Linked DNA regions of Lonchura striata. Each later gene encodes a partner of the first gene's protein in a complex. Links are inferred from orthologs where the notes say so. Each region holds a gene or a part of one and is shown on either strand. Other genes may lie near its edges.

The links.
Region 2: the proteins of BMPR1A (region 1) and BMP2 are in contact, whole or in part, in a crystal structure (PDB 2QJ9), measured with the Homo sapiens proteins. The link is inferred for Lonchura striata from reciprocal best matches to the Homo sapiens genes BMPR1A and BMP2. Residues at the interface, in NP_001393490.1 of Homo sapiens: His66, Cys67, Pro68, Asp69, Ile77, Thr78, Asn79, Phe83, Ile85, Cys100, Met101, Lys102, Glu104, Gly105, Phe108, Gln109, Asp112, Arg120, Ile122; in NP_001191.1 of Homo sapiens: Lys297, Pro330, Phe331, Pro332, Leu333, Ala334, Asp335, His336, Ser339, Asn341, Ile344, Val345, Leu348, Asn350, Ser351, Val352, Asn353, Ser354.
Region 3: the proteins of BMPR1A (region 1) and GDF5 are in contact, whole or in part, in a crystal structure (PDB 3QB4), measured with the Homo sapiens proteins. The link is inferred for Lonchura striata from reciprocal best matches to the Homo sapiens genes BMPR1A and GDF5. Residues at the interface, in NP_001393490.1 of Homo sapiens: Gly65, His66, Cys67, Pro68, Ile77, Thr78, Phe83, Ile85, Glu87, Cys100, Met101, Lys102, Glu104, Gly105, Phe108, Gln109, Asp112, Ser113, Lys115, Ala116, Gln117, Arg120, Ile122; in NP_000548.2 of Homo sapiens: Arg399, Phe435, Pro436, Leu437, Ser439, His440, Glu442, Pro443, Asn445, Val448, Ile449, Leu452, Ser455, Met456, Pro458.

What each region holds. Positions count from the first base shown.
Region 1 is NC_134609.1:6,126,161-6,136,870, reverse strand, and holds the start of BMPR1A (bone morphogenetic protein receptor type-1A), read right to left. Parts: upstream 4,950-10,710; 5' UTR 4,725-4,949; exon of another isoform or gene 4,663-4,724; intron 1-4,662. UniProt on the Homo sapiens protein: On ligand binding, forms a receptor complex consisting of two type II and two type I transmembrane serine/threonine kinases.
Region 2 is NC_134605.1:24,943,252-24,953,638, forward strand, and holds the start of BMP2 (bone morphogenetic protein 2), read right to left. Parts: upstream 4,813-10,387; 5' UTR 4,678-4,812; intron 1-4,677. Other genes in the region: FERMT1 (fermitin family homolog 1), read left to right, coding at 9,414-9,564. UniProt on the Homo sapiens protein: Growth factor of the TGF-beta superfamily that plays essential roles in many developmental processes, including cardiogenesis, neurogenesis, and osteogenesis. Induces cartilage and bone formation.
Region 3 is NC_134619.1:13,420,554-13,430,454, forward strand, and holds GDF5 (growth/differentiation factor 5), read right to left. Parts: upstream 4,879-9,901; 5' UTR 4,858-4,878; coding exon 4,224-4,857; intron 2,684-4,223; coding exon 1,815-2,683; downstream 1-1,814. UniProt on the Homo sapiens protein: Growth factor involved in bone and cartilage formation. During cartilage development regulates differentiation of chondrogenic tissue through two pathways.

The DNA.
Region 1 (10,710 bases):
TCAGTTGTCCAAGCCTGACAACTGCAAGGCCTGCTGCTTGCATAACACTGAGAAGGAAACAGGAAGGTTTCTAAATCTTCTCCAAGGCATTCTGTTAAAGATGATTTTCTCTTGCAGCCAGGAAGAGCACATTTTACCAAGCTTTGTGGTCTCCTCACTCACATTTCCAGTCAATGAGATTCACTGTTTTCTTCCAATAAATCCTTTTTTTCATGCTACTGCCCAAGTTCTTTCATTCCCAAATATAAAGGGACAAGTAGATGATACATTTTTCATATTCTCAGTATTTCATATATTCCATTATTCCTGCTGAACAATTCCTCCTAACCCTTCTGTTTAAGCTTCCTTTTAAGCCCTCTATACCCCTGCAAAAACACATGGAACAGTTCCTTTGCCTGACCACTGCACTGTGAATTTCCAACTGAACACAGGATAGGAAAAATAATGATTAATTTAGAAAACGTTATCTGAGCTTATTCACCACTTTCATATCTCTGACATTCTGACTCTGAGCACACAGTGTGCTCATTTGCACAAATCTCATGAGCAGAGTATCGATTCTCTGCATAAGTGAAATCTCTGATGACTGCAGTCCTCCAAAGTCATTTGAGCTCTGTCCACCGATTTCCAGTTAAATTTGGGATCAGGCTCTCACAGAGGAAGTACAAAGGCCTATGGTTCTAGGTGGGATTTTTTTTTTCTATGACAAGAAAAGAAAAGCAAAATTAAATCATTTCAACAGCTGCAGTGGTGAAAAGGAAATTGCTTCCACAAACCAGATCTATTTCCTGGTATGCATCTTGTGAGACTTGGATATTTCTCTAACTTATCCCTGATACATCTGCTTGTATTTATCAACCAAAGTATGGAAGTAGTAGAAAACTGACAGTTTTCTCCTTAACATGGTGAACTCAGGGAATATAGACACAAAGAAGTGCTAGTTGCTTCCACATTTTAATCTAATAAAGTTGACTGAAACCACACTACAAAAATTTATGCGATATCAAATTTTTGTAACAAGCATTGCTGCTGTTACATGATGCAAATTAAGCTGCAATATTGCAGAGCTGAGTTAATAATACTGATTTTTTTCCCTTTTTAATGCAAAGCAACTCATGACACTCGAATTACATTTAAATGCACTACATTTCCCCCTGAATTTTGGGAAAACCTATTTTGAGGAAAAAACAAGCACAAGAGCATTAGGCTGCATGTTGCAGGTACATATTCTGTGAATTGTTACTACACAGATTTTTGTCTAATCAAAATATTTTAAAAGTTCCCACCTTCGTGATACTCAGAGCACTTTCCCCTCCCCCGTGAAGAGTCACCGTGACAGTGTGGTGATGGCAGGGACAGCTCCATCAGGGCAACCACCTTCACTGTAACTACAGGTGTCACTGCAGGAACTCAGAGCTGGTGACATACGTGACCTCCAATAAGGCTTTGCTGTGGCTTTTCCTTTCCTCCTGCTTATACAACCTATGAATATTATCACAATCATGAACCAGAGTTTATTTTCCTACCCTAACACTTGTTTTGAATTTTGCTAACCAGACTGCCATTAAACAGTACTAAACCTAACCGTAACGCCCCGAATTCAAACGAAACGGGATGGCAACTACAAGACACACTTTAGAAAAATGGCAAGAAAAAACCTCTCTGAATTATAAATCTGAAACAGAGTGACTATATTTCTCACACTGTTTGTGTACAGCTGAAACAATGGGGTCATAACCAGAAACCCATGCAAGGGTTCTGCTCTACCACAAGATGAATGAAGTTCTTGGTCTTCTCAATATATCAAATATACATCAACCTAAAATGCTTCAGTGTCCAACCTGCTACAGCGAATTTCAAAATATATATTGCAGACTAGTGGCATAATTGCTTTGTTTTACTTTGGAGAGAAATGGATATGAAATACACCTTATATGCTCTGTAAACATACCCAGCAAAGTCCTGGGAAGCCAGTTCTCAGCAAAGTCCATCCTGGCAAGTTGGCAGCTTGTCCCCTGATTTCCTGATCACTGGAGGGCCAGCTGTGTGTTCTATCAAGCTAAAGCTCTTGGGATTTACATACTCCAAATACAAAGTACTACACTGATGTTTCTGGAATAAATCCCTCACAAAATAGCTATTCCACAGATCTTCTCAATAAGAGCAGGAGATTGCTAAAATTATGCTTTCTGTACACAAGAAAAATGAGGTGACTGTTTCAAACTTCTACCCATTCCAAGTATCACCTAGTGTGGTCTCCTTTTTATTCTTAAAGGACACAATATAGCAGGGCAAGTTTTACACTCTTTGCCAGTTTTAAACATTTTAAAAAGTAACTACTTGCTGCCTGAGAGCAGTGAGCCCTCAACAGCGTTCACAGCAACCTTTAACAGAATGCAAGAAAACAAAGCAGAAAGAAATCATGTTTCCCCTTAAAGCACTAACCATCCTGGAAGGCACAAAAGAGACCACTGCTACTGGGGACCATCAGCACGGCTGTGGTGGGACAACTGCAGAGGGTTCTGTGGATCTTGTCCAAGAAAGGGAAAAGCGGAGCCACTAAAGCAGCAGGGAAAGGAAAAACTTCTTGTCAGGCCCATTCTGTGCCTGCCTCTAAGTCCTTCATTTTGGGAATACTAGCAAAGGAAACAAGGCTTCAAGTACTCCATCTGTACCCACATATGACTCTGATGAGATATACTTTTAAATTGCTGAGTTCCATCTGTCATTTATTTACAGATGACAGTAAGGTAAGTGAAATTCCAGGCTCTGAAAATATGTCCTCTTTTTACTGAGGAACGAAGAAATGCCTGATGCTGCCCCAAGTATCCAGATAGGACTGATGCTTGAAATAAGGAAGGACAAACAAACAAACAATCATTTCTAAGTTTCTCTGCCACATACTGATTGGTCTCTTTCATTCATCTGTGTTTTCCAGCAATTTCCCAAAGAAGCTACTGCAGCTCTGTATGTCAGACCTGGTATCCAGAAAAAGTTCACATATCATTTACATATTCCACCATATTCAGTATTTTTAATATGCGTAACAATTTTCACCGCGAGGATCTTGCAAAGCACTGTCCAAAACATTAGGCTTTGGGGTCCCACACACTGGTCCTAAGAAAGTCTATGCTCTAGCTACATACTGTTTTAGTAAACTTGTCTTTTAATCAGTGAATTCCAAGTAACAAGCTATTTCAGCCTTGCAGCTTACCAAGAGCTTTCTGCTCTAACGTGAACAAAGGCTCAAACAGATAATATCCACAGATCCCTTTCAAAACTAAATTACTTCACAATTAAGGGAAGAAAATAATTCAGATCCAGCCACATATACTCTCTGTTGCTGGAAGAGATCAGCCAGCAGGACATACTAAGGATTGTCAGCTGAATCTTGCAGGTGCACAAGAAGACCTTTCATAAAATTTCAAACCACATCTCAAAGCCTACCAGGTAGCACTTGTCTATATAAATACATATAAAATACACAGCCCCTTGCACACACCCCAAAGAAAATGTGGTGAAAAACCTAAGAAAAAGCGACAAAAGAATGAGACCAAAAGACAAATACACGATCAGCAAGAGTTTTATCCCGGCTGCTACAAATGCCACAACATGGAGTATTTCTAGCTGTATATCAGACAACAAATTGCTCTTATGTTAGCGTTTTTATTCCAGGATTAGGTTCTACTAAAAACTAAACAAATCTTTCAAATTGGGAGAGTCTTCCTTATCTACAAAACCATCTTCTCTATCCTTGCAGATAACAGGCCTGAACAATCCCTAGCATGCTAACTTGATAAAAGAACTCAAAGATAATTACTTCTAAGCAGAGAACAAAATATGTAAATTCGGAGGGCAATCAATTTACACGGGAAAAATCGTCATACAACTTTACACAAAGTAACAGGCAACTGCTGAAAGGAAATACCACAGCTTACTACCATTCCCTGCTGCTGAATTCACTCTTAATTTTACCAAAACAACATCAGAGTGTGGTTGATTGAAAGGCGGTAAAAAGCCATTTGTGCTTTTGAACCCTGTTCAGTAGATTTTGTAACCAGTTATGAAAACAGCGTAAATAATCGGTCCTCAACAGCACAGTCTTTCACTACTAAGGTACGGGCGATTATTTGGGGTTATTATTTCCTCGGACTTTTTTTGTTTGACGTCGCTGAACGGCAAAATCCGATTTGGAAAGCAGGCGTCCAGCTTTGTTCAAGGCTCGCACAAAAGGAAGGCGAAGCACCTTATTCCTCGTACCCTTCCCACGACGACGGGCGCTGCCGCTCGCTCGGGCTGGGGCCGCTCGGCACCGGGCCCGGCATTACAACAGCGGGAAGGGAAGGGAGGGCAGGAGGGAGGGAGGCCCGGCCGGCGAGCGCCGCGCCGGCCCTGCCCCCGCAGGGACCCGCGGGCCCGGCCCGGCCCGGCCCGGCGGGCAGCGCCCCCAGCGCCGCGGCGGGGCAGCGCTGCCGGGCGGGGGGCGCTCCCGGCGCCCCGAGCAGCCGGGCCGGGCGGGAGGGCCGCGGCGGAGCCCACCTTCGACGGCGCGGACCCCGCCGGGCGCCGCCCGGCCCGGCCGTCCGGCGGCGGGGAAGGGGCATCGCCGCGGAGGGAGCGCCCCGCGCCGCCCCGGCCGCAGAGGCAGCGGGGCAGGCTCCCTGCCCGGCGCGCCCCGGCTGTCCCCGCCCGGCCGAGGCCTCCGCGGCGCGGCCCGCACTCACCGGCGGTGGGGGCTCCTCATCCTCCGCGCGGGGACGGCAGGCCAAGGCGGAGGGGGCCCGCTCCCCGCCGCGCTCCGCGGGCCGTTCCCGGGGCCCCGACGGCTCCGCTGAGACGGGGGCGAAGGCGGGTGCGTGTCGGGCGGGGGAGGGCGGGCCGGCGGGCGCGGGCTCGGCGCAGGCTCCGTGTCCCGGCAGGCGCTCCCGGCGCGTCCCTGCGGGGCGGGGCGGGAACGAGCCGGATTCCAATCACTGCAGCCGGGCGCGCGCGCGGCGGGGGCCCGCGGGGAGGCGGGAGCGCGCCCGCCGCCCCCGCCCGTCCCTCAGCACGTGCCGGGGGCGGGAGCGCCGGCGGGGCTCCCGGCAGGGAAGGTTGGCCGGGAGGAGCCGGCCGGGCCCGCTTCTCCTCCCCGGGAGCCCCTCCGCGGCCGGCAGCGCGGGCCGCAGCAGCGCTGTCCCCGTGAGGGAGCTCCTCTAGGAAAGGGCGGGAAGGTGTGAGGGGAAAAGTTGCCAAGCCGGTGTGGTGGAAGCGCTTCTGGCCTCGAAGAGGGTCGAGCCGCGAGAAGAGCGGCTGGGTTTGGCTGCGGGGCCGGGGGCTCCGTCCCTGTGCTGGCGGGGCAGGTGCGGCGCTCACCGGGGAGGTGGGTGCGGCATCGCCGCCGCGCCTGTGCTGGGAGCTCGGGGCCGCCTGCGAGCTGCGGAGCGCACCGAGCGCTCGGCGGCGGCTGCGGCCCGGGAAGAAGGACGGACTCGCATGGGCCTCTCGGCTTCGTGGAAGAATAGTTCTGAGAAGGCTGACGTTGCACTGCCGCGGGAGGGAAAGAGTTCCATTGCAAAGGACAGCATTGTTTGCTTTTTCCATTTCCTGTATCTAAATAAATATGCCCAGTTACTTAGATTGGAATACATTTTAACTTCTGCAATGAGCTGCTCTGCCTGCTGATAAGGATGCTGAAGGCCACGATTTGCATTGTATTTCAGAGCTTCTTATCATTAGGACAAATTGGAAAAGTAATAATTTGTCTGTCTGTCTTCAGGTGAGGTCTCCCAGCAGCAGTGCAGAAGGAGCTCCAGTGACGGTGCTATGTGCCATGCAAGTGGCACAGCTCCCACCTGGGCTGCTGTTTTTAATCCTTCACTCGACAGTGTGACAGCAGTTGCGCTGCTGATGTCCTCTTGCCCTTCGCCTGTCCTGCCACTTGGTTACTCTGCATCAAGAACTTTGCACACAAGGCCAGCTGCAGGGGAAATGAAGATCACATGGATCGTACAGACCACTCAGTTTCCCTTTGCTGCACACCATAACACTCTCTAGGCCTTCGGGACACACCAGTAATTGCTGGTGGGGAGATGGCTGCCCAGATAAACTGAGCATAGAGAATAACCAGTTGGGAAGCAATCTGGTTTATTGGTGCCAAATAACCACATGTGCATAAATTGTGGGAAACATGGGCTTGCTTATTGTGTTGACCTTTTCACAGTATAGCTCCATTTTTGCATGCTAATATCAGATAGGACTTGTAAATGTTGTGTACTGCACTCCAGAGTTGTCACCTCTGTAAGATGAGAGCACTGGCTTTGCATTCTGGCTCACGTGCATTTCACCCACAGATTGTTAGATGAGCACTTCACTTCTGTATTATCCTACAGAGAAAAACAAAAGAGGAAGTATAACTTCAAACCTATCACCTTCACAGACTCCTTTAAAATGTAGGCAGGTAAATACACACCTAATAATTGTATGTGGTGATAGGCATTTGCAAATGCAGGTCTTGTCTTATTAGACTTTTAGAAAATTTTTTCCGATCACCATCATCCAGAAAAATCTGTCAGTGTCCAAAACAAAGCCAGCCTACAAGAAAGACAAAATCACAGCTTCCATGCCAAGCAATACAGAACTCCTGTGCTTATGTTTATAATCTCAAAGGAAAATATGAGTCTGCTGTTCTTCCACTCTATGTACTATGAAATTATAGCAGCAGAATAGACACTCAATATGGAAGAAGAATGCAACATGCGTGTGTGTGCTCCCAAGCAGAACCAAAGCTGTTAGTGCTAGCATCTCTTCAGTAATAATGTGTGCTAATACAGCCCGGGGCTCGTCAGATGTTAGATACTGATTCCAATCCAGGATGCATGAATTTAGCAACAGCCACTAGCCTTGAAATGGATTTAACCCTTTTTGTGAAATGGATCAACTTTTTTTCATCCAGTTCCTGGTGTGTAAATTTGCACATTGCAGAAATTGCTGTCTCAGCCAGTACTTTTCAAGGCACTTGGGCATAGAAGATACCCACAAGTCCCTGTCAGATCAGGAACAGTGTTGCTGAGGATGAAGTTTTGTATTGCTATAGCAAGTAATGCCCATCTCTACATTATTGAGAACTATAAACTCCTTGTCTTAATCACAAAATAAAGTTGGCCAAAATAAACTACATTATGTAATATTAGGACTACAGGAGACCAAACTGCATCTTAATCTAAAATGATGAATCATAATGACCTTCTGAAAGTATTTAGATTGTGATGGACATCTGATGAAATATCACATAGAAAATACTGGTGTCTTTCAAAACAGTGCAGTACTTAGGTTTCAAACATCTCTACCAGAATAGGTAGAGAGACCTTTTTAAACCAGAAAGTGAACACTAGATGATGGGCTCTCAGAAAGACACAGGGCTCCAGCAAGCTAATTAGCAGCAGCAATCTTACTTGATGAGGATTTTAGGAATCTGCAAAAACTCAGACATACCAGGTTTAGTAACACTAAGCATTTATTTTGTTAATTGAGCCATATTCAAAAAACCGAGGTCTGAAAATCTGAAAATAAACACATAAGTTTATTTGACATTTGGCCAAGATGAGATGTGGAAGTCTAACATGAGATACAGAAGAAGCAGTTCAAAACTGACTGTCATGATGAAGAGAACTGTATTAAAAAAAAAAAAAAAAAAAAAAGGACAGTCTTCCAGCTGCTTTCATTGTTATTTCCTCCCCAGGAATTTCTTATTAGTTCTTGGAATCACTAGGGAACTACAAACTTGAATATCAAAAGAACAAAGAGGTATATATAGGGAGAAGGTCAGTCATGTGATAGGACCTGATCTTTGTAGATCCTTCTTCCCTTCAGTCTCTGGAATTCAGATGTCTTAAATCTGTGGTCCAAATATATTTTTGAGGACTGTTTGCAATTAGATGAGTATTTCTCTGTTACTGCTACAAAAATAAATATTCCATGTTACATATTAAAAGACTATTACCCTTCAGCCAGGGACACAATTATTTCACTTAATATGACATGAATTTGGCTTTGTCTGTTTTTCAGAACTATTTTACTTGAAAGCATATTCTTTTGATTATAAATTTATTCAGCTGTTTGTTACTTACAAAAGTCGTGGATTTTATTAGGTTTTTTAAATGTAAGCAAAAATAATTCAATAAGGCAGAGTCAAATCTGTGAAGAAATGTGTTCATAAAATTTTTGCTAGTGGATCACTGGTAGTAAAGAGGCAAGCCATGTCCAGGCTAGAGTCCAACCAGTCTGGTGTGGAACTGAGTCTGGGGCAGCACTGGAGAGCACTGTGGCAATAATCCAAGGAATAACAGCTCAATGAGCAGAGCATGGGCACAAGGAAACAGAAGTGTTCCCACAGCTCAAGCACTTGGTGTGATTTGGGCTTACTTGGGCTTCTGCAGGGGATTCTTCCTCAGCCTGGAGCAGGTGGCCATGGAGGAAGGAGGACACAATGGCTGTGCCTGTCCCCAGCAGCTGCAGGGTGGGAGCTGATTCCTCACTGAACTGATGCCCCTGCTGTGGCAAAGGGCTGCAGTAATGGGAGCATGTTGCTCTGGGAGACATCTTCCCAGTCAAGGACCAGATTTCCCACTGCTTTTTCTGTTTCTTCTGCCTGTGCCTAGCTGAGCTGTATGATTTTGTTTTTATGGATTCACATTTACAAAACCCTTATTGCAGTCTTCTCACCAGGTCGTAATAAACCCTGAGATAACTCTCCTTTTAAATACAAATTACTTTGTTTTTCTTAAAGCCAGAGCATTAAAAGTCTTATCACAGAAAAAGGAAGTATTTGTAGGCTCAGCAGACGTTTCACCAGGGTGCCTCACTCACATCAGTTTGTTTGGAGAATTAGTAATGTTTTCCCTAGATGCATGCACATAAAATCCCCAAAGTCTTCAGTTGCTCAGAGAAGATTAAGTATTTCAACTATAGTGCTGATTTTAAAATTTATGTTCTAATTATCAGTCAGTGGTGCCAAATGATCTACAAGGAAGTTTGAATTATACTGAGAGAAGCTGAATGTTTGTGTTCCTCCACCTTTCGTTACAAGAGGCATTTGTTTCTTTTACAAGTTGGAATAATCCTTAGATCCAAACTCACACTGTATTAACAGCTCCTCTGTTAAGCCTGATGCTCAGGCTTTGTCCTGAAACTGGAGCAATGCTGAAAGCAGAAATGTTTTTAAAACCTGCTGTTACACAAGGCAAATTCTTATCAATACAGAAAATGTCTGTCTTGGTGCGTGTAACGGCTTTATCCTCAGGGGGCATGGATTCAAGTGGAAGTGTTTCTGGCAGCTGTAGGAGGGGGTACTGTAGAGATTTACAAAGATGGACATTTATGAGACTGAAAATTCTCTGTTCTTCCAAGCTTTTTAAAATGAAACAGATCTGATCCTATACAAAAAAATGAACTAAGTTCATATTTTTCTTATTTTTTTCTCAGTCCAAACATATCTTAAAACATGAATAAATTGCTGTTAAATAAAAGTAAATGCAGCAAAATAGTCTAATTCACTTATTTTTTAATATTCTAGGGAAACTAATATGGGACTACAAAATAATAGAAGGATATCCTTGTATTTCAGCTAAAATGTCTGAAAATAGATAATGAAGTTAAAGGCATAGCAATGAAGCTTTTCTCTCTCAGTCTGTAAGGTGCTTGAATATTAACTGAAACTGGAACTTGAACAAGTAAAACTCATACAGCTAAAAGCAAATCCCAAAAAATAGTCTATATCTCCCTTTGCTTCCAATGAAATATTTGCCTGTGTCTGCAAATCTCCTCATTTGGCAGCCACACCTATTACAGTTTAAACTCTCACTGGCATCAGCAAAAAATTACCTGATTAGGGATGCAGGATTGGATCTAAGATAATAACATATTAAAAATCCACTATGGATTCAAAAGCTACTAATGGAAATTAAATCCCTGAGAATATAAAACATTCCAAGCTGTCGAACAGTTTCCATTGTACATACTCAGAATGCTAAACAATAGCAGCTATTGCATGTGTGACCATCAGGAAACACAGCTGTGCTTCTTTGTGTTACAATTAATTACTTCCGTTGTATATAAAATTGAAAGTATTGGTACTCTGGGGCGGAAAAAGGATATCCTGATACACTGCTCCTATTTCCTTACTGAGGCCTATTACTGAATGTTTCACCATTAATTCACTTACAATGAATTACCCTGCACGGAATAAAGGAAGGGTAGATTGGGTGGTTAATTGTTATGCTAAAAGCTACTTTTTCTTTGGATTTTCACTCTCCTACATTTTCTACATTATCTCATTTTACTACTTTTGCATATGCCCTCTTTGATAGGAATTGTTCACTTTTAATTAGTTGCACGTTATAATAAAGGTCTAAAATAAACATTTACTTCATCTTTTTATCTTTTTACTTGAAGGTTGTTCTATTAATATTTCTTAAGTTACAAGATCAGAGGAAGCACAATCTTTCTCTCTGTCCTTTAAAAAAAAATGAACAAAATCATCTCAACTGAAGTATTTGTGGCCAGGTTCTCTGAAGCTGGCACACAGAGATGTAATTTATACCTTTCTGTGCCAGTGAATATTCCTAAGCTGGAGGGAAATGAGGATTGTTACCCAGAGTTAGGGAGGAGTATTAACAACCCTCTGTTATGCATTCTTTTTTTTTTTTTCTTGAGAATTGCATAAGAAAAAAA
Region 2 (10,387 bases), on another chromosome or scaffold:
ATGTAAAACCTCTGAAGGTGAAAGTACCACTACAGCCAGACTGTGATCAGTCTGGAGCCCACCAGCAGCAAAGCCGTGCCTTTGGATGCCTGGCATAGCTGGGCCTCTGGGAAAGTCCACGACGTCAATTATTTCCAGCCCCTGGCCTGGGACATTCGGTGCTCCCTAGGTATTTCAGATGACATCTTGCAATGTTTGATTTCTTCAGTCCGCAGACAGATCTGCATTCGTGAGTGATAGGATGTGATTCAGTCACAGGTAGAGAGAAAAAAGGTGAACACCTCAATGAGATTTGTATGTAGTGTGTCAGGACAAGGGAGAAGTTTGCCTTTAGGGAGTTTCTCTTTTATCAGTGCTCAGCTCTAACTGCAAAGCAATAAACACAGCCCAGCTTTGAAAAAAAGCAGTTAAAGGATCATATGCAAGTATCCAAGTCTTGCTTGGTCTTACAAAGAAATCAGAGTTTTCTTCTGTCACAGCAAGTAAAATGATGACTGGTCCTTCAGCAAGCACAGGCAAGAAACACAACATTGTGTCAGAGCCGAAAAGAAGAGATTAAATAACACCACTATCATAACAACTGCTGTTTCAGGCATCTTCAGAGACTGCTTCTTTTTAAAGAAATATTTAAAGCAGTACTTCAAGGATTGAAAACATCACCAGTTTTTAAGGATCTGCACCCTGACAAGACTCTTCTCTTCCTTAAATTAGTTTTTAAATAATCAGTAAAATATTTGCTAATGGGTTTGGAACACACCTGAATCCATATTGTGAGGTTTTCCTCACTGTTCTCAAAGTCTAGCCTGGCTTTTAGAGAGTAAGCTCTAAGAAACATGAATTAACACAAGAGTAACAATGAAACCGTAAGAGTTGACAATCCAGCTAGAGACTGGAAAGGGTGGGGGAGTGAGAAAGAAGAAACGGGGAAAATCCCTACCCTTAGGCACATGAATCTGCAACATGATTTTTCAGAGTGTTAATTACACTACAGCTTTCACAAGGCACATGCCTTAGGGGAACTCCAGGTGCTGCTCAGTCTCTGGAAAATGCTGATTTAGGTGCAGGAATAGACAAAGGGAAGTCTTACTTAAAGCTTCTTTACTTAAAAGGCTGGGTCTAGCATAAAAAAAAAAAAATATTAAAGTGTATTTGCACATTTGGATGGAAATCCAAGTTTAGCAATACAGCATTTGCATTGCTTTTCATTCAGGAAAGTTGCACAACCCCCTTTCATAGCAGAATCCCAAGTTTGCCGATGCATTGCACAATTCAGACAGTGTTGCCTTCTCCTCCACACCGAGTTAGCTGTGGGGAGCAGGGAAGAGCTGTTCCCTCAAACTAATCCAGCCCCAGTGTCTAGTCCAGCCCCAGGGCACACCTGTGTGGCCCATGCAGAGGGAGAATCCTAGCAGCAACAGCTCTGCTCTCACCAGGGCTGTGGCCCAAAGCTCAGGAGATGGCAGAAGCAGCTCAGTGGAAGCCAGCACAGATCCCACCTGCACCAGAGGTCCTGGTGGGCCCTGAGGGAGCAGCACATAGCTGCACTCAGGCAGCGCTTAGGGCTGACCCAGGGCTGAGGGCTGGAGTAGGGAACACCTATAGAACTCTGTCTCAGCCACCTGTGGCTCACAAACAGCTGATTTAAAACAGAGCTACTATGCAATCTCCAGCCATCCTGCTGTTCCTGGGAATGGAGTGGGGCCATTTTTACATTCCATCCTGCCTCCCATTTCAGTTTCAGTCTCCTCAGGGCAAATTACTATCTTTAGTTCATCTGCACAGACACAGAACTTTCAGTTTCATTTAGATCATGTAAGTACAACTGTTATATTTAAAGCATCTAAAAAGGATGAAGAATGATTTAGGGTACTATTAATATGAGCAATTTTAAACTGAAGAGGTCAGACAAAGGTGAGTCTATTTATCTTAAAAGCTTCCATTCAAACAGCCTCAATCCAGCATCAGATAATATCTCAGAGTGTCACTCCAGCTGAGAACCAGTATCCTAAAGAAAATAACAGCATGTAATCAGACAATAATTTTGAACCCAGCTTTTCTCACTCCTGTTTTGGAAAGGATAGTACCAAATCCTATGTTAGACTTTGGGATTCTTCCTTCACTTGGTCCTACAGCTGAGATTACAATTGCAAGACATTCCCATCAGACATGACAGAATCCACAAGAAACACCCCCCAAAGAATGCAGACTCAACTCACTGGCCACCATTTGATGTAATGCTGTCTCTTGTAGTCTTTAACTTTTATGTACTCAGTCAGGCATTAACAACTTTTAACTCAAATTTTACAACCTCACAGGAGGTGCTTGGGCTCCAAGGGTAAAAAAGGAAAATGTATTTCCTTTAATTAACCATGCAGATACATATTTAGGAGGAAAGTTTTCAAGATTAGCTTGGTACCATCTCCCTGTAGCCCTGACTTACAAGCGCACAGAAAAGGTAAGGATTCCTGAAAGTCTTACACCATGTAATAGATATGATGACCAAGCCACCATTTTTGAAAAAGCCTAAAAGACAGTCTAAATCATCATATGTTTTTTACTCTGTTTTGCAACCACCAGACTGAGGGAAGGTAAAAAGGCTGAATAGTAGGATGAATTCATCCTTGGTCATGAAAAATAGTTCTGTTTGCAACTCTAGCTTTTCAAAGCTTCATTGCTTCAGCTGAAAGCATCATGAGAGAGGTCTGTGTCACCAATCAGCTGTCTGGTGAACATGCTCACTGTTATGGTCCTTTTTGGTCAGTTCCTCTTGAGTCTGCTCTGATCCCTCCCTCTCACCCTTCTCAGTTCCCCCTAGGGAGGGGGTTTTGGTAGCAATGTTAAATGACTCACCCTCTGCACCAGGCAGGGAAGTATTTCACTATGTGGTGCTTTTCAAGCATGAGCCAGCCAGAGTCAGAAAGCAGACTTTAAAAACCCCCAGAAGTCCCAACACCCAGAGGGTGGGAACACAGACACCCTTAGTGAGCCTGACTCATTATGGGTCAGTGCTGTCTGTTCTGTGCCCAGGGGCACCCCAGTGCATCAGTTTCAGACCTCATTTCAGATCTGCAACAGCAGCTTCAACTCTTCTAAACCAAGAAAATGAGGGACTTTTATTGTTCCTCTTAATCCAGGTTCCACTTACAGGATTTAGATTTTTCTCTTACACGAACTGAATTTTTCCAAAGCTTCAGATATTTAGATAATGGCTGTTGGTGTCACCAACCAGCACTACAGCCAAGGGATACCAAAGGATAAAGTATTGCCACCTCCCACTTGTGGACATTTATCAGAGTGCAGATTTTCAACATGAAGACCCTGTGTGGTACAGATCAGCTTTTCTCAAGAGCTTTGTCAGTAGTGCCTGGTGCTCATGCCAGGGTTTGCATTGATTAATTTCTTTGTCAGTGAAGGGGGGGGACACAGAGAGACACACTTTACTTCTTTGCCTACAAGTGGAATATTTCGCACAACAAAAACCATCTGTCTACCAAGCATAGATTTCAGAAATCACATCACAAAATAACAAGTTTTCCATGATGGGAGAGGGCGCCACTCTTTTACATCTCCCCTCCTTGGTTTTGATGTCAGTACATGAAGATGCCCACTGACCAGCTACAGGATATAAGAACACAACACTGACATTCTCTGCTCAGCTTTAGTCCTCACCTACAATCTAAGCCCTCAGTTCAAGCACCAACAGTAGCTTCTTCAAAGCTTTAGTAAACTTACATGTGCCAGGAACTCACAGGAACATTAAAATATTATACAAACTTCTTTATATAACTTCTCCTACACTGAGAACTTACCAATTGCCCTCCTAACTCTTGGCACTCCCACAAGTAATTCCTTGTTAAAACTGAAGTTAATGAGTGTCTAAAGAGACCTGGGAGAAATGCAGCACTTGCAACAAGTCGCTGCTGTTCCCCATCCCCCCATGGTTCTGCTCTAGATCTGCTTTTGCCACAGCCTGGCAAACCCCAAGTGGGAAATGCTGCTTTGGGAGAAGGAGGAAGCAGTACAGCTATTGCATGGAAACACAGAGAATCTAAGTAAGGCAAGTTTGAGAGGAATGGGAATTCGGAAAACACATGCATCCACAAACTGGGGTGATCTCACCCAAAATTAAATACTGAGCATTTTTTCTTCCTATAGTTAAGGAAAAATCATAACAGAAATAAAGAGGCCTATGAAAAAAGAGAAGACATTCCTCCAGACGGTGCATTAACACAACAATTGGGCCAGTCTTACATGATTACATCATCACTTGGTGATAATTTATAACACTGGCCTAAGAAAAGCTTTTAAAAGTATATTGGAAGAAAAAAATACACATTTTACCAAAAAATCAGTATTTATTATTCTGTCTTTGTCATGTTACTTCCTCATGCTCCCAAAAACATATATTTGTCTACTAAGACACTCTCAGCTAGAGGTGTTTAGTAGACCCTTTGGAAAAGGGATCAAACTCTAAACAGATCACATTCAGCCTTAGCTGAGTAACCCCAAGAATAAATTAACACTACCTATATTCCAGCAAACTTTATTCCTGACTAAAGGAGGCTTTTATGATATAAACTGTTAAGAAGCTACAAATGCACGTTCCATTTCCTGTCCTTTTCCATGGGAACTCTGGAAAAGAAAATTTATTACTAAATTACAGTTTTCCCCACTCACCTCTGACAGGATGAGGGTATTACAGGTCTTCAAATCTGATTTCCTCAGCCCCTTGAGAGATGACTGAAAATGAAAACACCGCCTCCAAAGCATTCCCTAATTTGCAACTCTTCAGATGTAAACCATCACTGCCTCAGATGCTGGGGGTTTGATCAGTGTCAACTGAAAACCCACCTATTTTCTTGCAATACTTTCTGTTAGATTCACAGAGAGCTTACCCCCCACCTCTTTGTCTTCTGTCTTTTTTCCAGATCATTTTTTCTTCATCCAGCAAGTGCATTTCCTCTCCAAGGGATCTGGCAGATAGGCGACAGATTTTTCCAGCAGTCCAGATGGAACATGAGCCCCATCCCTCTTGGCACAGCAGGACTAGGCTGACATCAAACTCTACAGTCTCTTCTCTCAAGTTAGCTCACAGGCAACTGGAAAGGGAAATAACGCTCACACTTAAAAGAGGTCAGAATTGGGACCAGCATGGAGATAAACATCAATGTTTATTGACTGGCCTGGCAACCTTCTTTGCTTTTATTGATTATCTCCCAAGCGCCATTTTTCCCAATTTGGTCAAAAGTTTGTGATTTTTCTTTATTTGTTTAGAGAACAAAAAAAAAAAAAACACCCAAGAATATGTTCCTGAGGTCACAGCAACAGCAGGCTTGGTTGTTCACTAACCAATTCACACCTGAATGTTACATTACCCCATGGTCCATAAATATTTATTTGCTCATCTACAGAGGTATGTTTATTTAAATAATAATAAGCAGGTAGCTTACCCAACTGTCCTACAAAGAGCTAAAAAGACAGTGTCAAGCCAGTGCCAAGGAGCAGCAAAAGTAGAGTTACTCCACATGACCCCAAGAACAAAATGCCCCTCAGCCTGAGCTTAAGTAGAATGCCTGAAATTGGTCCCGGCTGGGTCTGGCTGAGGTTATTAAAGGCCTCAGTGTGCCCTCAGGTGATAGAAGGCTCTGAAAGTCTTCATGAGCTTTGGAGTTCCTGTCTCCAAGGATGTCTGATACGACAAGTGCATGCATAGACAATCTAAAGAGATAAGCATCATCAGAGTAGCTCAGGGAGCAAGCCTAGGGGAGCAAATATCCTGTGATACTATCTGTGGTTTGACAACTTCACAGCTGCATAGTTCTCATGAGAGTAACTATTTGCTGCCCATAGTGTGTCAAATATTCATACTTTGTATCTCTGCAGTCTTTTTCCAGGATATGAGTTTTATCTGAAATAATTTTGTCCTTTATTCTCTCTGTTTCTCTTTTTCATAGATATGGTTTTTCCACTGTGCTTCACCTCATCACTGTACCACCGTGTAAGTCAAAAGTTTAAGGCAAGAAAGACTTTCTGTGGAAATCTGGCTCATGGAAAAGCTTTTGCCCCTTTCCTCTCAGTTCAATCCACGCCTCTTCTAACACATCTCCACCTCACAAACTTTCTGTTCTTTGCCATTGCACCCTCGGAACCGATTTTCTCCGGGTAGCCTCAAACCTCTAAAAGCAGCAGCTGAAGCTGCCCGGCAGCCTGGGGTCATCGATGAGGTGGTGACTCTGGGGGGTATGCGAGCGGGTGACCCTGAGCACCGCCGGGCGGACAGCGCTCCTCGCCGCCTTACTCCCACCGCGCGCTGTTGGAGGGAAGGGGAAGGAAGGGCCGCCCTCCCGGGCTCCACTCCTCCCCCCGCTGTTTCTCCGAGGCAAGGTAGCGGCGTAGGGCGCGGAGGAGAGGGAAGCGCTGCCGGCGGGGACGGCAGGTGAGGAGCGCGGGGCGCCCGCGGGGAGCGCGGGGCGATGCCGGAGCGACCCCAGCACGGGGCACCCGCGGGCGGCTCTGCGCTGCCCCGCGGCACCTGCGGCGGGGCGGGAGTGCCCGACTGCCCGGGCTTGTTGCTTTTACAGCCCTTTCCGCGGGGCCGCGGCTGCCGGTACTTCCTTAAAGTAGAAGTGGCGCTACCGTGGGCGCCGCAGGCCGGGCCCCCGGCACCCTCCGAGCTGCGCCGGGCACCGCCAGCCTGAGAGATATTTCGGGACCTTCTTGATCTTAACCCCGCGTCATTAGCACCTTGCTCCAGCACGATTCACATCTTTCTCCGTTCCCGCTCAGCGTTAGAAGTTTGGGGCTGTGAGTGCTAAAATCTGCGGAGAGCTCGATCTGCAGAAACTGCTGATTTTCAGTGCGCTGCAGAAATGCCGAGTGGAGACAGCAGTAGCCTGAGGACACGTTTCTGGCCTGTTTGATCTACCCGTGCCAGGCCTTGCAGCTCCCACGTGGAGCCCAGGAGCTGGGGCGCGTTCCCGAGCAGATCCAGGCTTGACCTGAAGGCTGTAAGATGTAAACCCTGTCGGTTTGGGTTTGGTTGGGGTATAATAATGAGGGGTTCGTCGTCCTCGTTGCTTTCCTTGCCCCGTTTTCGAGACCAGGCTTTGTTTGTGCTGCGTACTCCGGTAGATTTGCAAGTGTTTGTGTTGCCTTATCTTCAAACTGAAACCTCCTGGTTAGAAGAGGAAGTGGGGAGGTGCGCGGCTTCAGGGAATGATGGAGTGCCAGGAGTAGTGCACTGGGGCCATGGTTTTCCATGCTGGTGAAAGAAAGGGTTTCACCCACCCCTTAGGCTGCTGCTCATTTTCACCCGCATCAGCACAGGCTTTGTGTGCAGAATTAGATTGGGAAGTGAAACCTAATCTAAAGACGCCCCAAAAAAATCCAGATCAATTCCTAAATGTTTTCGCTGGCCCAGGAGGGCAGATGAGACAGCTGCTTTTCTGCAACAATAATGGTTTATAGTGGAACAAAGTTTATAGTGGAACAAGGGTGGGCAGAAGTAGAATTCATCTGCTGGACTGCACACCTGTGCTCCTGAAATAAAATCCCAAAGTTGTCATCCTTTGGCCATGGATTACTTTTGAAGTTGTTTATTTATTCTTAGGAGCATAACTAGGGGCATTTTGACTTTCCTAAAGTCAGGGCTTTTGTTTTGTTATGAGGTGCACAACGACAGCTGTCCTGTGCACCTTGTACTGCACTTGTGCTAAAAGCCTCACCTGCCCAGAGACCGTCTCGGGAGCTGGGTCTTGGAATTTTTAGGAAAGCCACAGCTCTTCCCCTCCACGGGTACCCCCTGGTCTAGTGCATACCTAAGCTCGTAAATCATGTGGCACACAGCAGCACAAATTCAAAATCCTTTATCCCAGAGGCAGGAAAGGCAGTGTTCCCAGTGTCCAATATAATGCCTTTATTTACCAAGGCAAGCAAGCAAATTTCTTGGATAAGTACCAGCCCTTGTTGGTTTAGTAACTGTTTAGTGTAAAGGTGTAGGCTGGCACATGTAAGAACCCAGTTAACAACAGGGCTTGCTCCATAGGGTGAGTTGGCCTCTTCAAGTCACACAGTTATGAAGCTGTAGTTTTGCGACTTAGGGCTCTGTGTGTGTGTGTGTGTGTGTGTGTAATTTTGGAACTTCAGGGCAGACTCCCAGCTCCTTCCCAGTGAAACTCACTGGTAAGGTGATTTCCCACTAAAATGATGGCTTTGAGCTGGTCAGATTATTCATTTATAATGTCATTTGTTTAAGGGGAAATCCATTTAATCTTTAATGTATACATTTTCATTGCCTTTATGTTTGTCGTTACCACCTCATCTCTATTATCCCTTTAATGACAAATTTTATATCAGCGGCATTGACATCAGGTATTACATTACTAAATACTTATTTTTAAGAAGATCTACAACAGCCTGTAACATTGCTTCATCCCTTCTGGCATAGTTATTTGCTATGTTAAAAGCAGTCTGAGTAGGGCCCCTTCAACAAGAGGCTGTGAGCTGGGTTCTCGTGTGTTGTTGAAAGTTAACAATAAAAGGAATTCATCCATTTTAGTGCCTACACCTCAACTGGAAAGGCCTTTTTCAGGACAGAGAGCTGTCTCACTGTTTATATATCACAAATCCTGCCTGCACCATCAGTTACCTTATATCTACAAGCTATTTCTTCAGCAGAACCCAGCTGATGTTAACCAAAGCTTCTACTTGGAGCGTCTCCTCTAGTTTGGCTTGGCATGATTACTGTTCACCTGTCCTGGCAGGAGCCTAGTGAGATCTCAGACGATTCACCCTGCTGAGAAGGACACATGCCTACATCCCTGTGCAAGTCAGCAAGAACTGCAGATCTGTGTCTGGATAATGCTGGCAGAGAGCCACTAAAGTTGTCTCCCCTTGCATGTACTCAAATAGGTAAAGCTACTCTCTGGATATGGTCCTGTGGGAGAAAGCTGGCAGAACTGCAAATGTAAACTTGGATTTGCAGTAAAAATTAGAGCCCTAAGCATACAAGTCAACAAAATGCCTTTGTTCACTGGACAGATTACCAGAGCAGATCCCACAACTGTAGGCTTTACAGCGTCCAGGCTGGTAGATTAGCACTGGATGGTGGGCAAGCCCAGTTAAAACTGAGCTATATCTACCCAAATGGAGGCATCTGGGTTGGGGGTGTGGCAAAATCAGAATAAAACCAAAAAATCCCACATTCCTATCCTGCAAGAGCGATTGCAGGAGCAGAGTCTAGTTCAGAGGTAACAAGATAACATCTCTGAAGTTCCACCCAAGGCCTCTGTGAAGTCCTGGCAGCATGGAATGATGTTGAGACTGGAGAAATGCATTTGTTTCAGAGTGGAGGAAAAACATCCTGTTCATTTGGTTGGTTTGCTTTTGCAGAGCTTACACAGACCTTTCCCAAGATGGTTTCCTCAACTGAATATGGGTCACACACCTGGGACCTCTTACTGACAGTTGATCATCAACATGAAGGTGTAGAAAAGGAAATTCCACTACAGGTCACAGGGGACCTTCATGTTGGAGGACTGATGCTGAAATTAGTAGAAAAAATCAGTGAGTAAAGACCTGTTTTATTTACAGTATTACTAAATAATATGTGCAGCTTTCCCTGTATGAAGAAAGGCTTTTGTGTGTTTTGAAATGGTACTGCCTCACTTCTGTGTCACAGCAGAGTGTGGAGGTTCTTGTGGTCAGAACCCCTCCCTATGTTTCACTCTCTGTGTTACCATAGTGCCAACAAAACTTTGGGGTTGTCTTTCAGTTAGATGAAAATAATTAAACCAGGCTAACTGCTCAAGTCCCTTTCCAGAAGAATGGTACAGGTGTGTGGTTTGGGGGGCAAGAGAGGTAGGTGATGCCCTGTTTATCCAGCCTGTCATAGAGGGTGAGTTTTTAAAAGGCACTTCGGAAATCCTGTTTTCTGTGCTATTGTGGCATTCTAGCCTAAGTCTGAGCTGTGTTACCCATTGCATATATACAGTAGGGAAGAGCTGGGAAAAGCCAAGACTAGCCGAGTCAAAGTTAGGAAGTGAAAAGTAAAATCCCCTGTGTATAGGAACAGCAAGGGAGCACAGGAAGAGATCGCTTCTGTCAACCCCTCTGCACACTCAGACACACGGTTCAGACGGAAACAGAGTTTCCACTGAGTCAGAATAATTTTTCACAGTATTTTTTAAAAATACTCAGCTAGTGTGAAAAGCTTTCTGTATTAATATTTAAAGCAAATCTGTAACTGACTTGTGCCAGCAGCTGTCTTGAGACACAGCTCCTACCAGGGGACTCCAAAGTAGGACAGGGCTCTGCTGTGTTATGGACATGCTGAGGAATAGCCTCTGCCTCATGGAGCTGATGAGGAGCAAGGATTGATACAAAGACT
Region 3 (9,901 bases), on another chromosome or scaffold:
TCATTCTACGTGCCTGCTGCCCTGCATGCTGGGCATTCACCGTCCGGGCAGGGGCAGCTTTCTGGTCCCCGGGTTTGCAGCAGGTGGGCAGTCCCTGCAGGCAGGAAAACCAGGCAGTGTCAGCCCCTCCAAGCCAGGCAGCGTCAGTCTTTGCTGGCAGGAATGACCACTGAGCAAATTCCACAGACCAAATCTCCCTGCAGGGCTGTTCTGCATCCCTGAGCTGCAGGTGAGGGCACAGGGCAGGTCCCCTGCACAGGGCTTCCCCAGGTGTCTGGCAGCAAGTCTGCTTATCCAGATACATTAAGCTGGTTAAAGGCTGAGCTGCCCAGAGAGTGCAGGAGGAAGGGCAGAAATTTATGTCACTGTTTATGACCATTGACCAGGAATTTAGGATGGTTTGCTGCTGGCATGAGTTTGAGGATGTCTAGACTGGGGTACTGAGCAGAAGGACCTTGGAGACTGTACTCAGCTCTCTGCCTCTACCCACACCAGTGATGCTGTGCAGACCCAGGAAATTCTATGACTTAATGGTCTAAGTAATATCAAACCTTAGCATTTATATTTTGTATTACTGATTAAATCCTTCAGTAATTTCTGATGGTTCATAGGACCTTTCTGATCCATCTGTAGTTGAACATTTGGTATCTACCTTTGTGGGTGGAAACATAGAGGGACAATCCCATTTATAACTCATGTCTGTAATAGATAACAGGGATATACAAGCACACAGCCCTTAGAGGTTGGAATAAAAGTATACCAAAGCTCTTTGCAACCCTCTGCATAACTCATTTTTGCTCCAAATACATCAATTCATAGTGTCATTCCCCACCAGATCAAACCAGGTCTTCCTTTCAGATCTTTTTTTCAATGTTTCTACGGTTTTTCTCTGTGGCAGCAAAATACACAGACATGTTGTGCATATCCATGGTATTCTGCTCCATGGAAAAGTCCCTTTCACATATTTATTGTACAAAAACATAAAACAATTTCTTAATTGCATTATAATTATGCAGAGTTGGACAGCTAGGCACAATGCAGCACTGTGTCAATAATTTATTACATCTTATTCCATAATTGAATGCTTTTACTATGAGCACTTGAGAACAACTTGGACCTTATACAGAATAATATATTTTGCTACATAATAATGGAAAGGTGGATACTTAAGAAAGATGTGTAGCTTGGAGGAAAACATACATGGAAGCAAATACCTCCTGCATCACCTATCTTTATGTAAAACTTAAAACTAAACCAACATATTATGTTTAATGACCCCTTTTTATATATGCATAGTTTCAAGAGCTAATCAGAAGGAAATCATATTACAGTACATATTTACACCAAGATGGGGGTACATCAGAACACAATTCTTCTCAACATTGGGATTCTTTTCTCACATTTATGAATGGACAAAGGACATAGGAATCAGATAGAAATTCATTCTCCAGAACAATGTTCAAGGAACAAACAGTTCATATCCACAGCTCACTGATCTCATCTCTATCCACTACCTTGCAGCTAAAAGCAGGAGATCTCAAGGTGTACAGGAATCATCTTCTCTGTCATGGACTTCACATAGAGTCAGTCCTGTGTTGCCAGCAGCACAAGGCCTTAAATCCAGCTGAGTGACAGCATCCAAATGCTACTGAAAGATGTCCATGGAGAGACACAAAAACACTGGATTTATTGCTACATCCTTGTAAACATACTTACCCTAGGGGTAAGAAACCTAGTTAACCTTGTTTGAGGAGAAGTTATGTCCAATGTGTCAAATTGCCTTTCATAACATATTCACATAAGCAACTGTTCTGCTACCTACAGCCACAGGACTCCACCACCATGTCCTCGTACTGCTTGTAGACCACGTTGTTTGCAGAGTCAATGAAAAGGATGCTGATGGGGCTCAGCCGGGTTGGGACACAGCAAGTCGGGGGGGTGGACTCAGGGTCCATGGAGTTCATTAATGTCTGGATAACTGCGTGGTTGGTGGGCTCCAGGTGGGATCGGAGGGGGAATTCACAGAGCCCTTCGCAGTGATACGCCTCATACTCCAGAGGGGCTATTATCCAGTCATCCCAGCCCATATCCTTAAAATTCACGTGGAGGGCTTTTCTGCTACACCTCGCCTTCAGGTTCTTGGTGGGCCTCTTCCCTTGCCGTGTTGCTAGAGGAGCTCTTCTCTTCCGCCTCTGGTTGAATAAGTACTCATAAACAGTTTTGTCATCTTGGCCAGACCTAGCTTTGATTTCATTGAAGAATAAGTCTCTTTTTTTCGTCCTCCCAAACACCAAGAACAGAGCCTTTTCATTGACCTGTCTTCCTGTTCTATTAAATCCCACACTCCTGAGATCAACAGCTCTCCCCCTGTCAAAAGTTTCCAGTTCAAAACACAAGTTAACCAAGTTTTTAAAGTTTCTGAAAAGTTTCCAGATGTCAAACACTTCCCACTTGGGTGTATCGGTGATGCTGACAGTCCGAGAGTCCAAGAGTGTTGAGGCTTGTCTGTTTGTAGAGCAACTAAATAATTTTACTTGGGAAGTTTTCCCAGAAGAATGAGACTTCCATGTATCAGAAGGTTTTTTTCTCAGTATTCGAAGCTCTGCTCCCAGCAATCCATCTTTTTCTAATGCACTGATGTCAAAAATATATTTTTGTTTTCTTATAGTTGGTGCTCGCTCATCTGAAAAAAGCACACAGATTTTTAAATGTACATCAAACACAGACCAATATTACTTATTCAGTTCTTAATGGCTTTCCTCAAATTTGCTCATAAGCCTCAAAGTTTACCCACTGAACAGAAAGAGCAATTTTTGTCTAAGGGATCAGCCCCATGCAGGGACTCAGAAGAAATCAGGGACTCACCAGAGAAATGAGTTTCCAAGTCTGCCTTGTAGAAATCCCATTTCTTTCACCAGTGGGCATTTTCTACCTTCAAAGTTGTTATTAGCCAGTTGAAAATTAATACTTTTTCAGGACTGAGCATTCACAGGATCTATTTACCACTTATAACCTACTTAAATTACAGAAAGAGAGCTTTAGTGGTGGCCAGGCCTTATGCTGGCTCCAAACATGAGTAAATTTACCCTTAGATGATGCAATAGTGAATTAGTCCTTTAAAACCAGTATCCCCAGGAACTGCTAGACATAAGGATAATTGCCTCATGAACTAAATCCCACATGATTTAAAATTTTTCAAACTGGGCAGAAAAAAATCCTCCCTTCATCCTGACTTTACAATCACTTGCTTCAGGTGGTGAAGAATATGGCTGAACCATATTCATTCCAGTGATGTGACATTAACAGTGGCTTCCAGTGGCAAGCTGGGAACCTGAAGGCAGCACCTGTGAGCAGCGCATCCCCCCTTCCCAGCAGCCAAGCTATTAATGAAGAGATGGCTAACAAATCCAGTCCTGGCGAGTCTTTCATCACAATTCCTTCACCAGCTGTGTTGCTTCCTTGAGAACATGACAAAACTCTTACAAATGTCACTGGAAGAAAGATGGGGCTCCCAAAGAAGGGTGCTGAGGTGAACATCATTCATTGGGAGGCTGGTTATTTCTCCTATGAAAGCAGACACTAGCCCAAATTTCTGGAAGTGTTTGGAACAGGAATGTTGAGCTGCAAGTTCTGGGTGTTATTACCCTTGGTAGCCTGTGCTGAGCTGTGGGCTCCTTGGTGCTACCTGAAAGTTTTAAGCTACTAAAGATACTCTCACCCCACAGGATAGTGCAGTGTAGTTCCTCACAATTCTACCTTGAACAAACCAGACTGGCCCTTTCATACTGAAACTTGTGGGTTTTTTTCAAAGAATAGCTCTGTTCTTAGCATATTATATGTTTTTAGGCACACTACAATCTAACATTAGCTGTTTCCATGAGCTAGTTTCCAGACAGCTAGAAAGAAAATAAGGCAAAAATGTGAAAGGTTTTTAAACACCTAAGCATGCAAAGACTGATTGATTTTCAACAATATGCATCTAAAATATTTCCCAAATGTTTTCTTTGGCTTCCACACAACCATCTAGTTCTGCCTGTAAATGAGTTTTCCAAGATAATGCAGGAGGACAAAATCTGCAGCAAAGTTGTGTGATTTCATTTACATTAAAAAGAGCTATTTGACTTTACTGAAATATGATTATTTTCCAATACTTTCTACATTTATAAGCACACTCAGACATCTCTCTCTGTCCACACTCACTCACACACAAGCTTCTTTCTTACCTTGTCCTTTGTCTATAAAGCTGGTTATTGTATTGGCAAGTCCAGCCTCCAGTTTTACACTTCCATTAACACCCTTTCTTTCTGCATCTGAGAGAGTCCTGTACAAAGAGAGCATGTATTCATGTGGCGTTATTGGGGGATGTCGGAAAGTTTCCTTAGCTTCCCTCTGGGTTACAGGCTCTTTAGTCTTTTTGGTTTTGAAAGAATCAGTGTCAGTACTGCTTGTGCCAGTTTTTTTCAAAGCCACCTTGCTGCTAAGATTTTGAACCTTTGGAGTCACTGTCCTTACTCCAGAAGGTCTGCTGGGGAGATGTCCTACCTTGCCCTCTGCAGCTGCTGTTCTTGAGGGAACCTTCTTTGAGTCATCATTCTTGGCCAGCAGAGCTCCAGCCTGAGCAGCACTGCTTTTAGTCCTGGCCTTTGAGGTCCCAGCACTGTATCCATGGCTTGAAGTCCTCAATGTACCTGCTCGTGCGGAGGGATTCCTCTCCTTTCCTTCTGCTTTCAAAAAACCTAATTTAGATCCTGGATTACCCTGGCCTGCTTCAGAATTACTCAGCACTCCAGGAACTAGATCCAGAGACAGCCAAGTCAAATGCCAAAGCAGTAAAGTGAGAAAATGCAGGATTTTCATCCTCTGGTCTTCCTCTGAATGCCACTAAAGAAAAAATCAGAAAAGGTTCCTCCAGTTTGGCAGAAGAAAACATGAAAGAAATTAAAAACCAAAGTTAGCAAAAATGGTTTTTGTTTGAGATTAAAACATTTCAAATATCGTTGTTCAATACTTGTATCCAGTCCCATAGTGGAAATGCTCATGTACTCAGATACGATCTCCCCTGACTTCAGTTAGCAGCTATAAAGAACTTGTTCTTGAAAAGAGAAAGTTTACCACCTCGTTTTCTTCTGTAAAACTGACTGAAAACTTGAAGGAGTCTTGTTTAAATCCAAGGTTTTTTTTTTTTTTTTCCAAGAAGGAAGAATGGCGTAATGCTGCCTCTGTGTTAAAAGGTTTTTTTAAAGTTTTGAGTTTTGAATCCTTTCCAGTGAAAATATTTCACACACAGAGATCTGCAGGTGCTCAGAAATCTTTTACAAACCTGAACTCTGGAATTGGAAACGGAATTCCAACAAACCTATTTAATTACTCTCTGATGTCATGCTGTCTAAACTAATTTTACTGCGATATATTTCTTAAAAAAAATCTTCTTTACCCTTTTCATTAGCATGAGTCATACTCTGCCTCATGTGAAACAGCTCCACAGGCTCAAAACTCCAGAGGATGCCTTTTCAAGTGGCAGTATGACCTCTGCCTTAGCCCTCGATGAACTTCACGTTTAGACAGGACAAACTGCAAGATCAACAACTGAGACCTGTCACACAGTCCACTGGACACATACATAAACTAATTTAGAAATAATTCATGTAGCCTTTTTTCCAGAGAGCTTGTAACAGTGGCTTCACTCCGTCCCCTTGTGACTGAAGGGCTGCGCTGGAACGCAGGCGCTTAACGAGGGTAACATTTAATTTTACACAAACTCAACAGGGCCGTGCCCACAGTCAGTGTATTTTGGCTTATTTATTGCTGTGCTTAAAAAAACCCGTGTCAGCCCAGCTGGAGAAGCAGCTCCTGCTGGAGGGGATGCCCCGCGGGGCGGGCGCGGTGCAGCGAGGCAGCAGTGCACCCTGCAGGCAGCCATCCTCCTCCTCCTCCTCCTCCTCCTCCTCCTCCTTCTTCTCCAGAGCCACTCGGGAGCTGGAGGCAGGCCGAACCCTGTCCTTCCTCCCGAGACTGCTGAACACCAGCCTTTGAATTTTAGATTCAAAATGTCCAAGAGCTGCTGACCCTGGGGCCCCAAGAAGGATGCAGGTCAAAACCAGCACTCCTCATGTCAAGGCTGTCCTGCACATTTCAGCCAAATCTGTCTTTCATAACCTGCAAAAAACGAGCTATTGTTCTAGATCAGCCTTCGGGAAAGAAGGCGCTGGACTCAGTAGGGATTACTGGGACTCATCTCTCATCTTGCATTGATGCTACACCCAGTCCTTCTGCAATTGCTTTTCTTTGAGTTAAGATGAAATGAAAAAGGTACACCACCTTTTGGCTTGTCCTGTGTGTGCTGTAGCATTCCCCACCCACCCTGACCAGTATCAGAAACACTGAACTGCTTTCATAAATAACAACCTGCATGACATAAGAAGCTCTGAATGCTTCACTTATTTTGATGGAGGAACTGAAGGATAGAAGAGTTCAGTGATTTTACAGATGTCACAAATAAGGTAGATTCAAATCATGATTTTCCTGATTTTGATCTAATAGCCCTTCCTCTGATGTCAGTTTGCTTTTGATATTTCCCTACAAAATAAAGCAGCTTCTCCTGGGAGTTACCTCTAATGAAACCATTCCCCAGCAGTCATTCCACACCATCCCATGGCCCTCCCAGCCATGCCATCACTTTATCCTTCCCATATTGCCCACCTTTCTGCTGGGTGATGTGCTGTGTCTGGTTCTGCACCATGGGGGCATTGATCAGCTTGCCAGTAAGCCACAAAAGAAGCTAAATGTTGAATTTCCACTTTTAATCTATCCAGCTTCCAGTTTTCACAATGTTTGTAAGAATTTAATATATTTAAAAGTTTGTTTGCTCTATCAAACTTGGCTGTGATTTGCAAACAGATTTAAGAGATGGGAGGTGAAAGAGCAGGAGGTTGGACAATGTGATTACATGGGCATTGTCTTAGTAAATCAAATTAAAACATGATCATTGATATGTTCAAAGAATATTTACATGCCTGAGATTAAAAAATCTTAGTGGGCTGGACAGAGCTAGACAGAAAGAAAAAGGAAAAGCAAGTAAAACAAGCAAGCAAAGGAAAAGAAAGTAAAAAGCAAGTGCAAATTAATCTCTCTCTTTAAAAGAGGCTGTTTTGAAGCAACCACAATCTCAGTGCTTGGAACCATGGGAGCACAGATGCTGTAGAGTGCACTGAGCCCCACAGACCCCAGAATGGAATGCTGACCCTGAACAAGACCCACAGACAGGGGAGTTCCTATGAACCCTACACCAAAGTGGAGTCATTCCAGCTGGATAAACTCAAACTCCACTGATATGTTCAATATGTAGCTAGAAACCCTCCTGCTGGTGAGGCTCTGGACACAGTGGAAGTGGTGTTCCAAGCCTCTCACTGCTCATCACAGCCAAATTTCTGTGCAACCTCAAGTGGCCGCGTTCATGTAGCCCACCTGTCCTTCTGAGCTGTTCTGTGACAGCAGCTCCTCCCTCGCACGGTGTGAGTATGGATTTGAAAAGGGAGGGCCACCCGTGTCCCTGCTCCCTGGAAGTGCCTTGCCTCCTGCTCTCCATATCCTGAGATTATGCCTACATGAGCTGTGATGCTTTCTCAGACAATCTCAGCCCTTCTGATGTAGGATGTCCTGCATAGTCTAGAGGAAGGGATGACTCTGGGGAGCCAGAGGAAGATTTCATAGTGTTGAAAACACTGTCAATCCCTGCAGATGAGCAGCTTCATTGGATATGTGATGCCAAGAGTTACAATTTGCTCTGTGCCGCTTACTTGCAGTTGAAGCTGCACATGGAAGTTTTTATAGTGATCTATCAGGAAATTCACTGTCCTTTCCCAGGTGGACTAATTTCCAGAAAGGACTTAAAAAACTGAGCTAGTGCCATATATTAAGCTATTTGCTGTCATGTTGTTTTGCTGATTGAATCTAATTATCATTCTGTTTCTGTGAGGATTTAGACCTTTGCACCATAGCTCTTGGGCAACTGTTTTCTAGAAGTGTGAACTTACAATTTATGAAGGAAATTAACAGCGCTGTGCTTTTCAAAAGGAAAGAATGACACAAAACCTACAGATGCAATAATTAAAACTTGCTGGTCTTGGGCCAGGGCAAAACAAATGTAATGATGTTTCCACTTCCACGTGAAGGTAGCAAAATTTAAAACACTGTGCTAACATGTTGTGATGTTAAATAAAAAATTGCAAGTCCAAAGAAATAATTGTGTCATTGGTAATCAAGAAACTTGGCTACATCTGCAAGCAGTAGTGAATTACAAAGCACAGAATCATAGAAACATGAAATATCCTGAGTGGGAGTGTTATTTTTGTTTTTTGATTCCTACAGATGTACCTAATTTCCCCAACTCTGAATTAAGGGGGAATTTTTTCCCCCTAATTTTTGGTATCTCTGCCTGTTATCATTTAGAGAAATTCAGGGTTTGTTTCAAGTTTCTTCAAGCCTATTCAGTAACAGAGTCCCTCCATTTGGTATACAATGTTAATTTCCCTGAGTTGCCTTTGATAGGTATTGTTCATCTTTGTAATAGAAGCATATTTATATGATTCAAGATTTGAGAGAGAGATCCTGAGATCCCAAACTACTTTGCTGACAAAGAAAATTTTGATGGCAATTCATTTATTCCACCTCTTTAAAAAAACCCAGAATGTCAGCGCTGAAGCATTCGCTGTCACAGGAAACAACAGGGAGTGAAAACAAGCCAGCGTTATTCAGCAGCCAAATACAAAATGAAACATATTTTTAGCAATGGGCTTAACCAAGTCTCAGGACAATTCCCGATGACATTGCGGAGGGTGCACGATCACTGTTTTTCCTGATTACATTCCCCGCGGCGGCAGAGCGGAGCCCCCAGGGCGGCAGCACCGCCCCGCCCTCACGGAGCCTGCGCTCCGGCGGGCGGCCGGCGGGGCGGGACGCTGGGGCCGGGCCGGCCATGGCGGGCAGCGCCGGCGGCGGGGAGCTCGGCCCGGGCGCGCTGCGGCGGCGGCTGCGGAGCGCGGAGGAGGCGCAGCAGCGCCAGGCGGGGCTGGTGCGGCAGCTGCAGAACGAGGTGAGGAGCGGGCGGTGCCCGGCGGCGGGGAGGCGGTGCAGGGCCGCCCGCGCTGCCCGGGGGCACTCGGCGGGAGCCCGCGGGGCCTCCCGGGCGGGCGGTGCCGAGCGCGGGCTCGGGGCTCGGGGCTCGGGGCTCGGGGCGGCCCCGGGAGCGCCCGTCCCGCCGCGGTCTCGCTGCCGAGCCCCTCCCGATCTCGATCTCGGTGCCTGCAGCTTCGCTGCTGCTCGGCCCTGTTAGCGGGGTTTGTCCCGGGCAGGAGTCGGGCCGGTTTGTTTGCAGAGCAAGTTTGAAAACTCGTTTTGTTCGCTTCAAGGACCCCCTTGAACAGCCCCCTTGAACACTTGGCTCGGGGTACGTGGGGGCCGTAGGTCAGGTAGAGAGCTGCCCGCACCTGTCCCATCGTTCTGCTTGCTGCCGCTGTCTCAGGTGAGCAGACAGTGCTACGGTGAAAGAAACCCTGCCCCAATCTCTGTCATATTAAAGTGACGCTTCCCGATATTGCAGTGACTTCTTGCTGAGTGTATCAGAATCACTGTGCTTGGGCTCGACAGAGTCAGAGAAAAGTTAACGTGAGGTGAGCAGAGTCTATTACAAGCTGCTTCTCTCATCTGTAATCTCTGTATCCATTTAGGTACTGCAGTACCAGACCTGGTGTCGAGAGTTGGAGCAGCAAGTGAAAGCTGGAGGGGTGAGTGTGCTGCAGGTTGTTAACTAAAAAGGGTGTATATAAAGTTCCCAAATGCAGACCAATAAAAACGCTCCACAATCCAATTACAAGAAAGCAGGTTTTTACTGTCTGAGGGTTTA